Linked DNA regions of Drosophila melanogaster. The gene in region 1 interacts genetically with each later gene. Each region holds a gene or a part of one and is shown on either strand. Other genes may lie near its edges.

Region 1 (5,267 bases):
CCATCTCCCACTTTCAGTTAGTTATCCAGGATCCCAGGGATCGAACCCACACTTCCATTCATCTAGACAATTTGTCAACGACATGGCAATGATACAGCGCACAAGGAAAAGCGACAGCGGGAAAAACAGTAGCCCTACTGTAGCAAAATGAAAATGTCAGCGGCAGCGGCAGCTGCTGTAGCAACAACAACGTGCCCCAATCCAACGAAATAGTTAAGTGGATACGAGAGGGCACAGTGAATGGAATCCATCAACCGCCCATGGTGATCCCCCCTACCACCTACCATCGTGGTATCCAACTGGCAGCCCAAGCCGACGAAGCCTTTCCAATCACATTACTGAGTGCCAGGCGATGTCCTCCGGGGCAAATGGGCTGGGTTTGGAAACCCAGGGAGCTACTTAGCATCCCAACTGGAAGAGATGAACCCTTCAGGAGACGAAAATCAAATGGAATGTAACAGATAGATTCCTTAAGATAACAGAAAACCCTTATCACAGCTCTATAGTTTGGAAAGATATTTTAATGAATTCTCGTGAAATAAGAATATATATACTTCATGGTTGTTATTTAAGTTAATCTTTTGAGGAATTGCAGCAAAATGAGAAGAACTTCATTTTGAATAAGTGTTAGCAACTCACTTGAATAATAAAGAAATAATAACAAATTTGTATGGCATACAGTACAGTTTCCATCAATACATGCCGCCTCTTTTTTCTTATTAAAAATTCAATGATCAGATAAATTTTCACATTTTTCCATAGCTCACCTTAATTTAAAGCGCATGCAGCAAATACTAAATACTTAAATTCGAAATACAAAAAGCACGCATATGTTTTCAGTCACACAACACGGAACCAGCGGCAAACTAAATAAGCAATGGTATTATAGAGATCACAGCCACACGCCCCACCAAGCAGCCATCGCCACTCCATACGGAATTAGCTCTCGCTTTCACTGTGGGTGGTCCTGGAAAATTCCACGAGCCACAAGAATGGAAAGCACTTTGCAGGATAAGCGCCCCGTGGCATCCTCGAAAAGACCAACCACCCCACGTTGTTGAATTGATTTTGCTATGTGAAGTGCAGCTTCACATATAAATTCCCTGCCAAATTGTTTTTTTTTTGTTTCTGCCATTGACTTGTTGCGTTTTCCATTTGATTGCCTGGCCGCAAGCCTGGGTTTATGATATGGAAATCAATTTAATTCATTCCCACAATTAGGGCCATGACTTTGGCCCACTGCAGCGGGCCAAAAGCAGAGCCATCGAGCAAATCTGCCATAAACCAGCGAACAAGAAATTCTTATGGGCGAGGGCGTGTCCACCAACTACCAACTGGCAGTTGAAAAGAGCCGTAAAACACAAGGAACCCCCAAAAGAAGAATGCGCACAGTGGGCCTAAAAAGGAAATAACAATGAATTCAAAAACATGAAAGGCAAGGAAAGTAATGAGTATTTTTGTATATTATATACAAACATAACAGCATTAACGGTTCAAACATTTTATATTAATTTTTTTTTTTAGTTTTATGGTATTTGATCCCACTGTGCTTTATTGCAAAATCGCAAGCAATGAAACGTGTGAATTTTATGAGCTCGCTGAAACTTAAATGGGTCTCCAATTTAATGACGAATTCTGCATTTTGGGAAAGAGAGAGCGCGAATTGTACGCAACAGAGCGAGATAGATGACGAAAAGCTGAGGTTTTATATATGTATGTACATTTTAGGCCGAAACATTCTTCGTTTTGCCGTGCTTTTCATTTTTCCGGTTTTCACCTTTCCGCTGCCGCTGAATCAGTCAAGACCGCCTGCCTTCCCCCCTCCCCCTTCTGGTGTCGTCTGCTCGCTGCCAGCGTCAATTACTTAATTTTAATGGCCTTTATTATGCATACCACAAACACAGAGGCGTTCGCCGAGGAGCGCTCGCATGAATATGCACACGGATTGGAAAGTGTAAAACACTCACATTAACAAGCCCATAAACAAACCTGGCTCATTAAAAAAAAACAGTCAACACAACTCGGGTTGCGGCCGCCGCAAGTCGATAGGCGAAGGAGCAAAGTGGGCGGAGGTCCTTGTGGGCGGCAGGATGCCAAGAATGTGGCAGGAGCCAACTCAATGTTGGCAGGAGGGGAGCCAGAGATCACACAGGCAACTCCAAAGCACTTCAAAAGTGCGCAAACATAAAGGTATCTCAAAAATGTATCATCTTAATTTTATATAATTTATTTGTTTTTGTAATTAATGAATAATTTATAACACATGCCTAACACATAAATATATGTAAATCCTAAGGCAATAACTAATTTTACTTATTTTCGAAAAAAAATATTCTTAGGAGATGGTTTTATATATGATATCGTTATCAATTAGCACGTCTTATTTTGACAATCAATCAATTTATGAAATCGCAGACCTGCCACAACTGGCATACATACATACATATGTATGATTGTACATATGTATGTATTTTCCGATGGATATCACTAACCTCAGGTTAACTTATCGAAGGGATTTCTCTCTGCCTCTTGTAAATCACGCACTAACATGGGGTTGTATGAATTTCGTTTGTATATATTCCACTTGTTGCCAACGGCACACGCGCGATTGTGTGTGTGTTGTGTGTGTGTGTGGGCGCTTTTCCTTCTTTACGACGCGACGCAACAACAAATAAACAAAAGCCGATGGCGACGACAGCGGCGACAGCAGCAACAGTAAAAATAACAACACAACTTTGGCGACAGCGACGCAGGTGTCGCAGACGTGTGACGTTGTTGCTGCAATTTGTTATTGTTGCTTTTGCTTTCGCTGTTTGCTGCGATGTGAGTTATCAGAAAATCACCAAACACACACGAACGCATAGGTAACACACACACACACACGAGCGCACATTTACGCACAAAACCGTACAAGTATTTCAGTCAAAAGAAACAAACAATTTGTTTATAAGTTTAATTGATCCATTTCACGCCTTTAGCTGTGTCACAAGACTTCTTGTTGTATGACAATAAGAGATGGCAGGCCAGATAGAATATCTTTTAATTCTGACAGAGTTTCAATAGCACAGCAGTTAATATTTCGTTTTCAAACAAAAAGCGTAATTTTTTAATCGGCAAACAACTAAAAGGTGTGCGGGTATTTACCAACACTGCGGCAACAGCTGTTCGCTGGTAGTTAACAGTTGGCTAACAGTAGTGTTCAGGTGTCAGTGTTGCCAGCAACAAGTTTGGAAAATATTAATGTAAATAATAATTATTAAAATAGAAAGACCAATTAATAAACTTGTGAATTTACCTAATATATATAATATTCTATTTCTAAAAATTCTATTTCAGTAAAATGATTGTATTTTCTGTTAAACTTTCTTTTTCCAGTCAGTTGGCAGTGCTACTGCAGCAGCTGTTCCGCTGTCAACGCTCACCAACACTGCGCCACATGCTCCACAAATTTTTTTGTTGCCTTTTGCGGCTGATTTGTCACTGCCAGAGTTTATTCCGCAAATAAAATCCTCTATACATGATATTTAAATCAAATACCGAGTAACCATGAGCGCCACGGATGACTTCCAGAGCTGGCTCAACGAGCAGCTGCGCAAATTGAACACCGACGAGAACGTTTTCGGTTCGTATATTATTGGAATTTTGGAGGGCGACGAAACGACAGATGAAAAAACCGAGGCTCTCGAGGGAATTCTCAGCGAAACAGGTGTAAGTTATGGTTAGTAATATCATTGCCTACATAAATTATGGTCCGTGATCTTTGCAGTCCGCCAACATTGACGAACTGGTGGCCACCATACTACAAAAGTGGCTACAGAGCCATCCCAGCGCCGATGATCCGCCGAAAAAAGGTCTGGATATCGATGTGAATGCCCAGTTGGCCAAGTTGCTGGAGCAACAGAAGCTGCAACCCGCCGTAAACAAGGAGCGTGAATACACCGAAGAGGAGCGTCGCATCAAGCAGCAGATTCTAGCTCAATACTCCCAGGTTGCTATCCATGCTGGCCAAGCTGCTGATTCCAGATATCTATTACTAGCTTTAAAGTAGAAGTATCTAGTATCTAATGACAATGCCAATCTTTTTGCAGACTGCCGTTGCCAACGAGGACGACGAGAATTCCGAGGCGGAAAGCGAGGATGACAGTGGAACGCTCACCAAGAATACCAACAAATCGGATGTCCAGGCGCTAGCCAAGGAAAAGCGGGAGCAGGCCCGAATGGATAGTGCGGCCAAAAAGCAAAAGGACAAAGAGGATCGGGAAAAGCAAAAGCAACTGCGCGAGGAAAAGAAGGAGAAACGCAAAACCGTCAAAGGCGAACGGCGTCGATAACCGTCCCCAAGCGAATATTTTTAGACTCTTTCTATTAAAAACAACAAACAACAAATCTGTACAAAGTGCATTTCGCTTGAATGTTTGCATGTTTGCCTAAAGCGAAGTAAACTTTGAAGAGATCTACCGAACTGTTGAATATAAATGTATTAAAATTGAAACGCCAAGATTTTAATTTGATATTTTCAAATGTTTTCCTTTTGATTTCCTTTTTTTTTCTTAGTTTCTTTAATTTTCTAAATTAAATTTAATGCTGTTTTCACATAGCTGTTACAAGGAAATTTGTTGTTTAACCCTAACTTGGCCAACTAGTTGTAAATACTAATGAAAATGTTAGTTTTGTGTATAATTAGTAGTTGTTTTTTTTTTAAGAATCAGCTTAATTTTGCTTATCCTCCTCCGCCTCCAAAGTATCTTCTTTGTCCGATGTCGTTTTCTTATTTCGCTCTGATTGTAGTTCCACGGAGATTTTCTTAATCGCCTCCAGATCGTGCAGTTTAATACGTCTGTTGTTGGGATCCAAGCAGTTGACTTTGACCTCTATGAAGTCGCTCGTCTGCTGATCATCCCAACTGGAATACTGCAAAATTAAGTATATTAATAGAATGCTTATTGATAATTATTTATAAACACAGGAGGTCACAGGAGGTATATTGAAATTATCACATTGATGCAAATAACTTGAATTGATTAAGTATACATTGGTATATCATGTATGTGACCACCATTGTCATACAAATAATCCACTCACTACAGAACTGGAGGTAAAGAGCAGCTCCTCCTCCTCGGCAGCCGACTTGACCCGCAGATACTTCTGAAGCAGATTCGTTTGTTCATCTTTGCGCCACAGACACAAGCGATTGTTCTTTAGCCAGTCGTTTTCCATAAGATCAGACTTTTTTACCAGCAAATCCAGTTGGCTTAACTTAACAAATT
Region 2 (5,144 bases), on another chromosome or scaffold:
GCGGACAAAGCGTTTTAAAGTGATCCTGGTTTCGTGCAGTGTATGAGGGCAAGACGAAGAAAAGCAAAGTGAGAAGTGGTGCAAAAAACAACACAGGAAAGGAGATAGCAGAATGGGTAAGAGGGGTGTGGAAAGGGGTGGGGAAGGAGAGCAAGATCGGATGGTGTTAAAAATAGCTTTAAGCTCGCCTTGTAACGGTACTCCTCGGGAGTTTCAATTTGTGTGTATGTTTCTGCACTTGCGTTTTAGGTGCAATGGGTGCACAAGTGTTTATTTGTGGGCTGCAATCAACACACACACACGCACACGGAATTCAGCTATCATTGTTTTCCTTTCTGTTTTCCTTACATTTCTTGGCTCTTTTTAACAGTTAAGCAAATACCGATTGATATGACAGACCAAACGTTGTTATTCTTTTCATCGCTCTCCCTCCCTCTCTCTTTCTCTGTTGCCAGGTGTCACGCACACCTGTGTGATTCATCTTGACATTCCTCTGTGCCGTCTTGTTGTTGTTGCTCTGTTTTTATTTTTTTTTTTGGCGGCTGCTGCACAAGCTTTGTGTGGAGTAACAGCTGTTAGCTTAACAGTTTCGGAATAATTTTCAATTGGAATTAAAAAGATATCAAGTAATTTACTAATCTATCTGCAAAGAATTTCAATAGATCTTACAAACTGAAAACAAGATTCAAAATATAATGCAGATTCTTAAAACCTCTATAGGATGTTCGTTCGACGGGTGGGCCGCTGGTGATTGCACAACCTGTCACATCGAAGGTCTCTTTAACCCGATTCAACGGTTAACTTGTGCGTCTAGTCAGTTATCAGTTATCAGTTGTTGTTGTTTTTGTTGTTGTTGCTACTGAGGCATTTCGTCAGCGCAGATATTACAGATCGACCACAGGGAGACGGATAGATGGGAGTAGTGGTAAGGGGGAAAGGCAGATTACAAAATTAAGCACGTTTTTAAATTATATATATGAATGCGAATATGTACTTATTGCGAAAGCGACAGGCTTTTGTTACTCCTCATACTGATTGCTTTTAGTACCCTGTACTAAAAAAAGGTATGCTAACTTTGGCGAAATCTGATCAGCATTTAGTTTCAAAAAACGCAATCAAGCCACTGTTTACAAGCTTTCTTTAGGAATATTAAACTTATAAGGCTATCATATGCATATATCCATGCCTCAGGTATCATATAGTCGATAGACGATACCCATATGATCTGTATTTAGTTTGCGCAGGTGTCAGCTGTATTTATTCTCACACTTTCGAGGCATTCCTTCCCGGTGCGTCACCCGAAGATATCAAATCATATCAAGTAATCTCAAGGAGGAGAAGGCGAGGAACCAAAAGGAATCATCTCGGAATCGCGATCCCCACTTGGGCGGTCCTTAATTACGCGAAGGGAGTGCCTCCCGCCAGGCAATTGCTCCCCGCACAAGAATTCCAATACAAAAGGAAGACTCAAGCGTTAATGATAAGACCGCGGGCGCGGCGCGGGCGGAGGCGTGGCAGATCAGGGAACAGGCCCATAGCTTGTCTTCCCGTCTGGTCATTCGCTCAGGCAAATCAATTACAATATAGACATGATAATAACTCCACTGCATCCATGGGCCCATGTAGACGGGGGAGCAGTAGAGCAAACAACAAACAAGAAAACACAAAACTTGGACCAACAGGAGGGCAATGGGCAATGGACAATGGGCAGTGGGTTCTACAAGCTCTACAAGATAAATTATGGATTTGCTCCCAAAGGGCTCCCAAAGGGATCGGGTCAACGGCGACGTCTGGAATGCGAGTCTAAGATTAACCGATTTCAACTTTTGGAAGGCGGAAATATGAACAAGTTTTTAAAAAACTAGGGCATATCTAAAATAATTGTTTTCTTTTTTAAGTTTAGTGAAGGTGTCACTTGCTCAAGGTATAGTTTCCTTTCTAGGATATCAAAGTTCTCCAGTTGTTTCATACAATATACGTTATAATTAGAAACGTTTACTATAATATTTTAATATTCATCACATAATATATAATGTGTGACTTTTGTGAGCAAACATTATCATTAAACGTGTTTTCTTTTAATGAAAACCCGCAAATGTGCATTTCAAAATAAATTATTTCTTAAAAATGGCATTTTTGTTCTAAAATGTTATAAATTAAAAAAAAAAAAAAAAAAACAGGAACTTTGAACACATTGCCAGCATTAGTTTATTGAACTTTATTGACGATTTATCCGCAATAACTCGATCATAAACAACTTGATATATTGCAGTTTAAGGCAGCGACTACATTTAAGCCAAGTTCACTTTCATTTGTGATTCACAAATCTTATATTCGCACGCGATTTGACGTAGTTTGATTTGAATAACGATTAAGCCCGGCTTAGACTTTGTTTTTAGGAATTCAAGCGCAACATTTTCACTGGGTTTTCCACACAGCCACTGGAATAACTCAACAGCCAGATCAAAAAACGTTAATTGCAATTGTACTTTTTTGTTTTGTTTGGTTTTTTTTTTTTTTGCATTTGTTAATGATAAAATGGTGTTCTGGTTTTGCTCGAAAGCTATTGGGGAAAAAAAACATATATATAACAAAAGGCTGTGCGCTGTGGAGAGCTTTTTAAAAGGCCCGGCTTTAGTGGGGCAGAAGTGGAAAACCATATAAACAATAACAAAAAGCAGTTTCAGTTTAAATGTTAGATGTAGTCGAGGGTCGCTGGCTTGTTTGTTTACGCTGCTGATTTGTGTTGAAATGTTGAAATTTTGAGAAGCACCACTTACTTTATGGAAACACGGCTTGAAAATTCTAAATATTATGTTTTACACGAAGTTCAATGGCACAAATCGGTTAGCACGAAACGAAAAACAAACAACAAAAAATATGTGTGCACAAATGGGGGGTTTTGTATTTAATAATTTGTGATATATATTTGAGCGCGTTTAAGTTTGTGGTGTTAGCCTCGCGGAGATCGGCGGAGCTGCGATCCAAGCACCAGCAAGTTCCGTTCAAAACTGTCGACTCGTCGGTGTGGGCCAAGTTACTGCGCCCCTATCACCACAGTCGCCAATAACAATAGCAGTAGCAGTAACTGTTGCAGTAACAGTAACAGTACCCAGCTGTCGCAGCATTGCGCTCTCCGCTCTGTACCGCAACACTCACATCCAATCCGAACCGAACCGCTCCGCTCATTACTCTCCCGATCTTGGGGCCTGGAGCGGAGCGGATGGGTTTCACTGTTAACAGTTAACGCTGGGAGAGCGCGATCTCGACTTACGCACACCCTCGCTCAGGAGGCTCGCTGAGATTTTAAATTTAAATATATATAGAGCAACATGAACAATACATATGTTACATTCTATTATCTGTCTATTGGTGGAAATGGAGTATATTATCTGATTAATCAGTGTTGTGGTGATGATAAATATTACTCATAAAGCTGCACTATTTCATCGTTATTTTCAAAGTATTCATTTTAGTGTGACATTTTACATTATGTTAACACTACGCAGCAATAATCTGTAAACTTTCTTTAGGCAATCTTTCATTCTTTCAAACTTTCCTTAGAAAATATTTCAATTGTGCCCGTTTCTATTAACCTGACTTCATGTATTGATATTTTTTTATTCATATAAGTACATTGTCTTTCAGCCATCTGCTTGCTATATTAAAGTAACTATTCGCTTATGTCTATAGTTCCTAAGATGTAAATGTAAATCGTCTCATAAGCATTAATTTTACAGCAAAAAATAAAATACGATTTTAAATTCAAGTTCGTTTGGAAAAACATTTCCGATGACTAGGATATAAATTCAAAATATTAACGCTATTAAAACGTTACATTTATCCATTGCTTAAGTATATATTAATCGTAGTTCTGGACGTGAGATGTCGCTCAGGTATCTACGATTCCGGCTAGGTTGACTGCCCTACGGATGTTCCTCACACACATGCCGTTCGAGATCGATGGCCCGGAAGAAGGGCCGCACGCAGAATTCACAGGTGTAAGTGCCGTGTCCATGGCCGCGATCCGTCTTTATGTGATCGGTGAGGTGGCACCGCTGGGTGAATCTCTTTCCGCACGTGGGACACAGATGCGGTCGGTGGTCCAGGTGCAGACTGTTAACGTGCTTCTTTAGGTGATCAGCAGTGGCGAAGTCCGCCTGGCAAATACCGCACACATGACCGCGCAAGAGGATGTGAACACGTTGCAGATGGGACCGCAGGGCTTCTCGGCTGCCATGGCTCTTGCCACAGTAGCAGCAGTCCAGGGCACTGCGTTCGTGAACCTGCTCCAGGTGCCGCACCAGGCTCAGACTGCCGGGGAATCCGTTGGCGCAGAAGGGACACACGAAAACGCTCGGCTTAGCGTTCACAATGCACGACTCCTTGTCCAGGTCGGTGGGCCAGCCAAAGGTGAGATCGTCGTCCCAGTCGATGCTGGGCAGTATGTTCTCAATGTTCTCCTCTAGCATCTCAAGATCCTCCATTTCATCAACCTGGCTGTCTGCAGGGATCGGATTGAATAGTATTATTAAGCAGGGTATGCCATTAACATCACAACTACTCGTAAGCAGAATACCTACCTGCATCACTGGCCGTGGACTTCAGGGTACGCAGGCGATGCACCTCCTCGGCGTGCTCCTGCAGCTCCAGCATCCCGCTAAAGGTCTTAACGTCGTTGCAGTTGTCCGTGCACATGTCGCAGTAGAACAGCGACTGCTGGCCGTGCCAACTGGCAACATGACGGTAAAGAAACGTGGCTGACGCGTACTTCTTGCCGCACTGCAGGCACAGGAACTGGCCATCGTTGTGCTTTCGCTCCCGATGCCGCTCCAGCCGGGCCTCCTCGCCGAAAAGCGTCAGGCAGTGGGGGCAGACGAAAAGACGCCTCACCCTGACGGAGCACTGCTGCTCGTGCCGCTTGGCGGCCAGATGACGAGAGAACTCCGCAAAACAAACGCCGCAGTGGTACGTACGCTTCTTGGCCGGCTTCTTCGCCGCCAGCGGCAGGGCTCCGCGGTTGCTCGCTCCCGGCGCTTTTGGCCGGATGGGCACCGGTTCCATAATTTTAGCTTGTCCAATTAAAATTGTTGTTACAAGCAAAACTGCTCGCTGACTATCGATATCGGAAGGCGCGATTTGTT

The links.
Region 2: of tai (region 1) and Pvf1, changing one enhances a phenotype caused by changing the other (phenotypic enhancement), as found in Drosophila melanogaster (one study listed by BioGRID).

Annotation. Positions count from the first base shown.
Region 1 is NT_033779.5:9,164,664-9,169,930, reverse strand, and holds the start of tai (taiman), read right to left. Parts: upstream 3,154-5,267; 5' UTR 2,493-3,153; intron 1-2,492. Other genes in the region: CG9586 (uncharacterized protein), read left to right, coding at 3,547-3,708, 3,767-3,988, 4,059-4,331; CG13108 (uncharacterized protein), read right to left, coding at 4,711-4,911, 5,083-5,267.
Region 2 is NC_004354.4:18,830,583-18,835,726, reverse strand, and holds the start of Pvf1 (PDGF- and VEGF-related factor 1), read right to left. Parts: upstream 3,046-5,144; 5' UTR 2,781-3,045; intron 1-2,780. Other genes in the region: CG7101 (uncharacterized protein), read right to left, coding at 3,927-4,504, 4,584-5,064.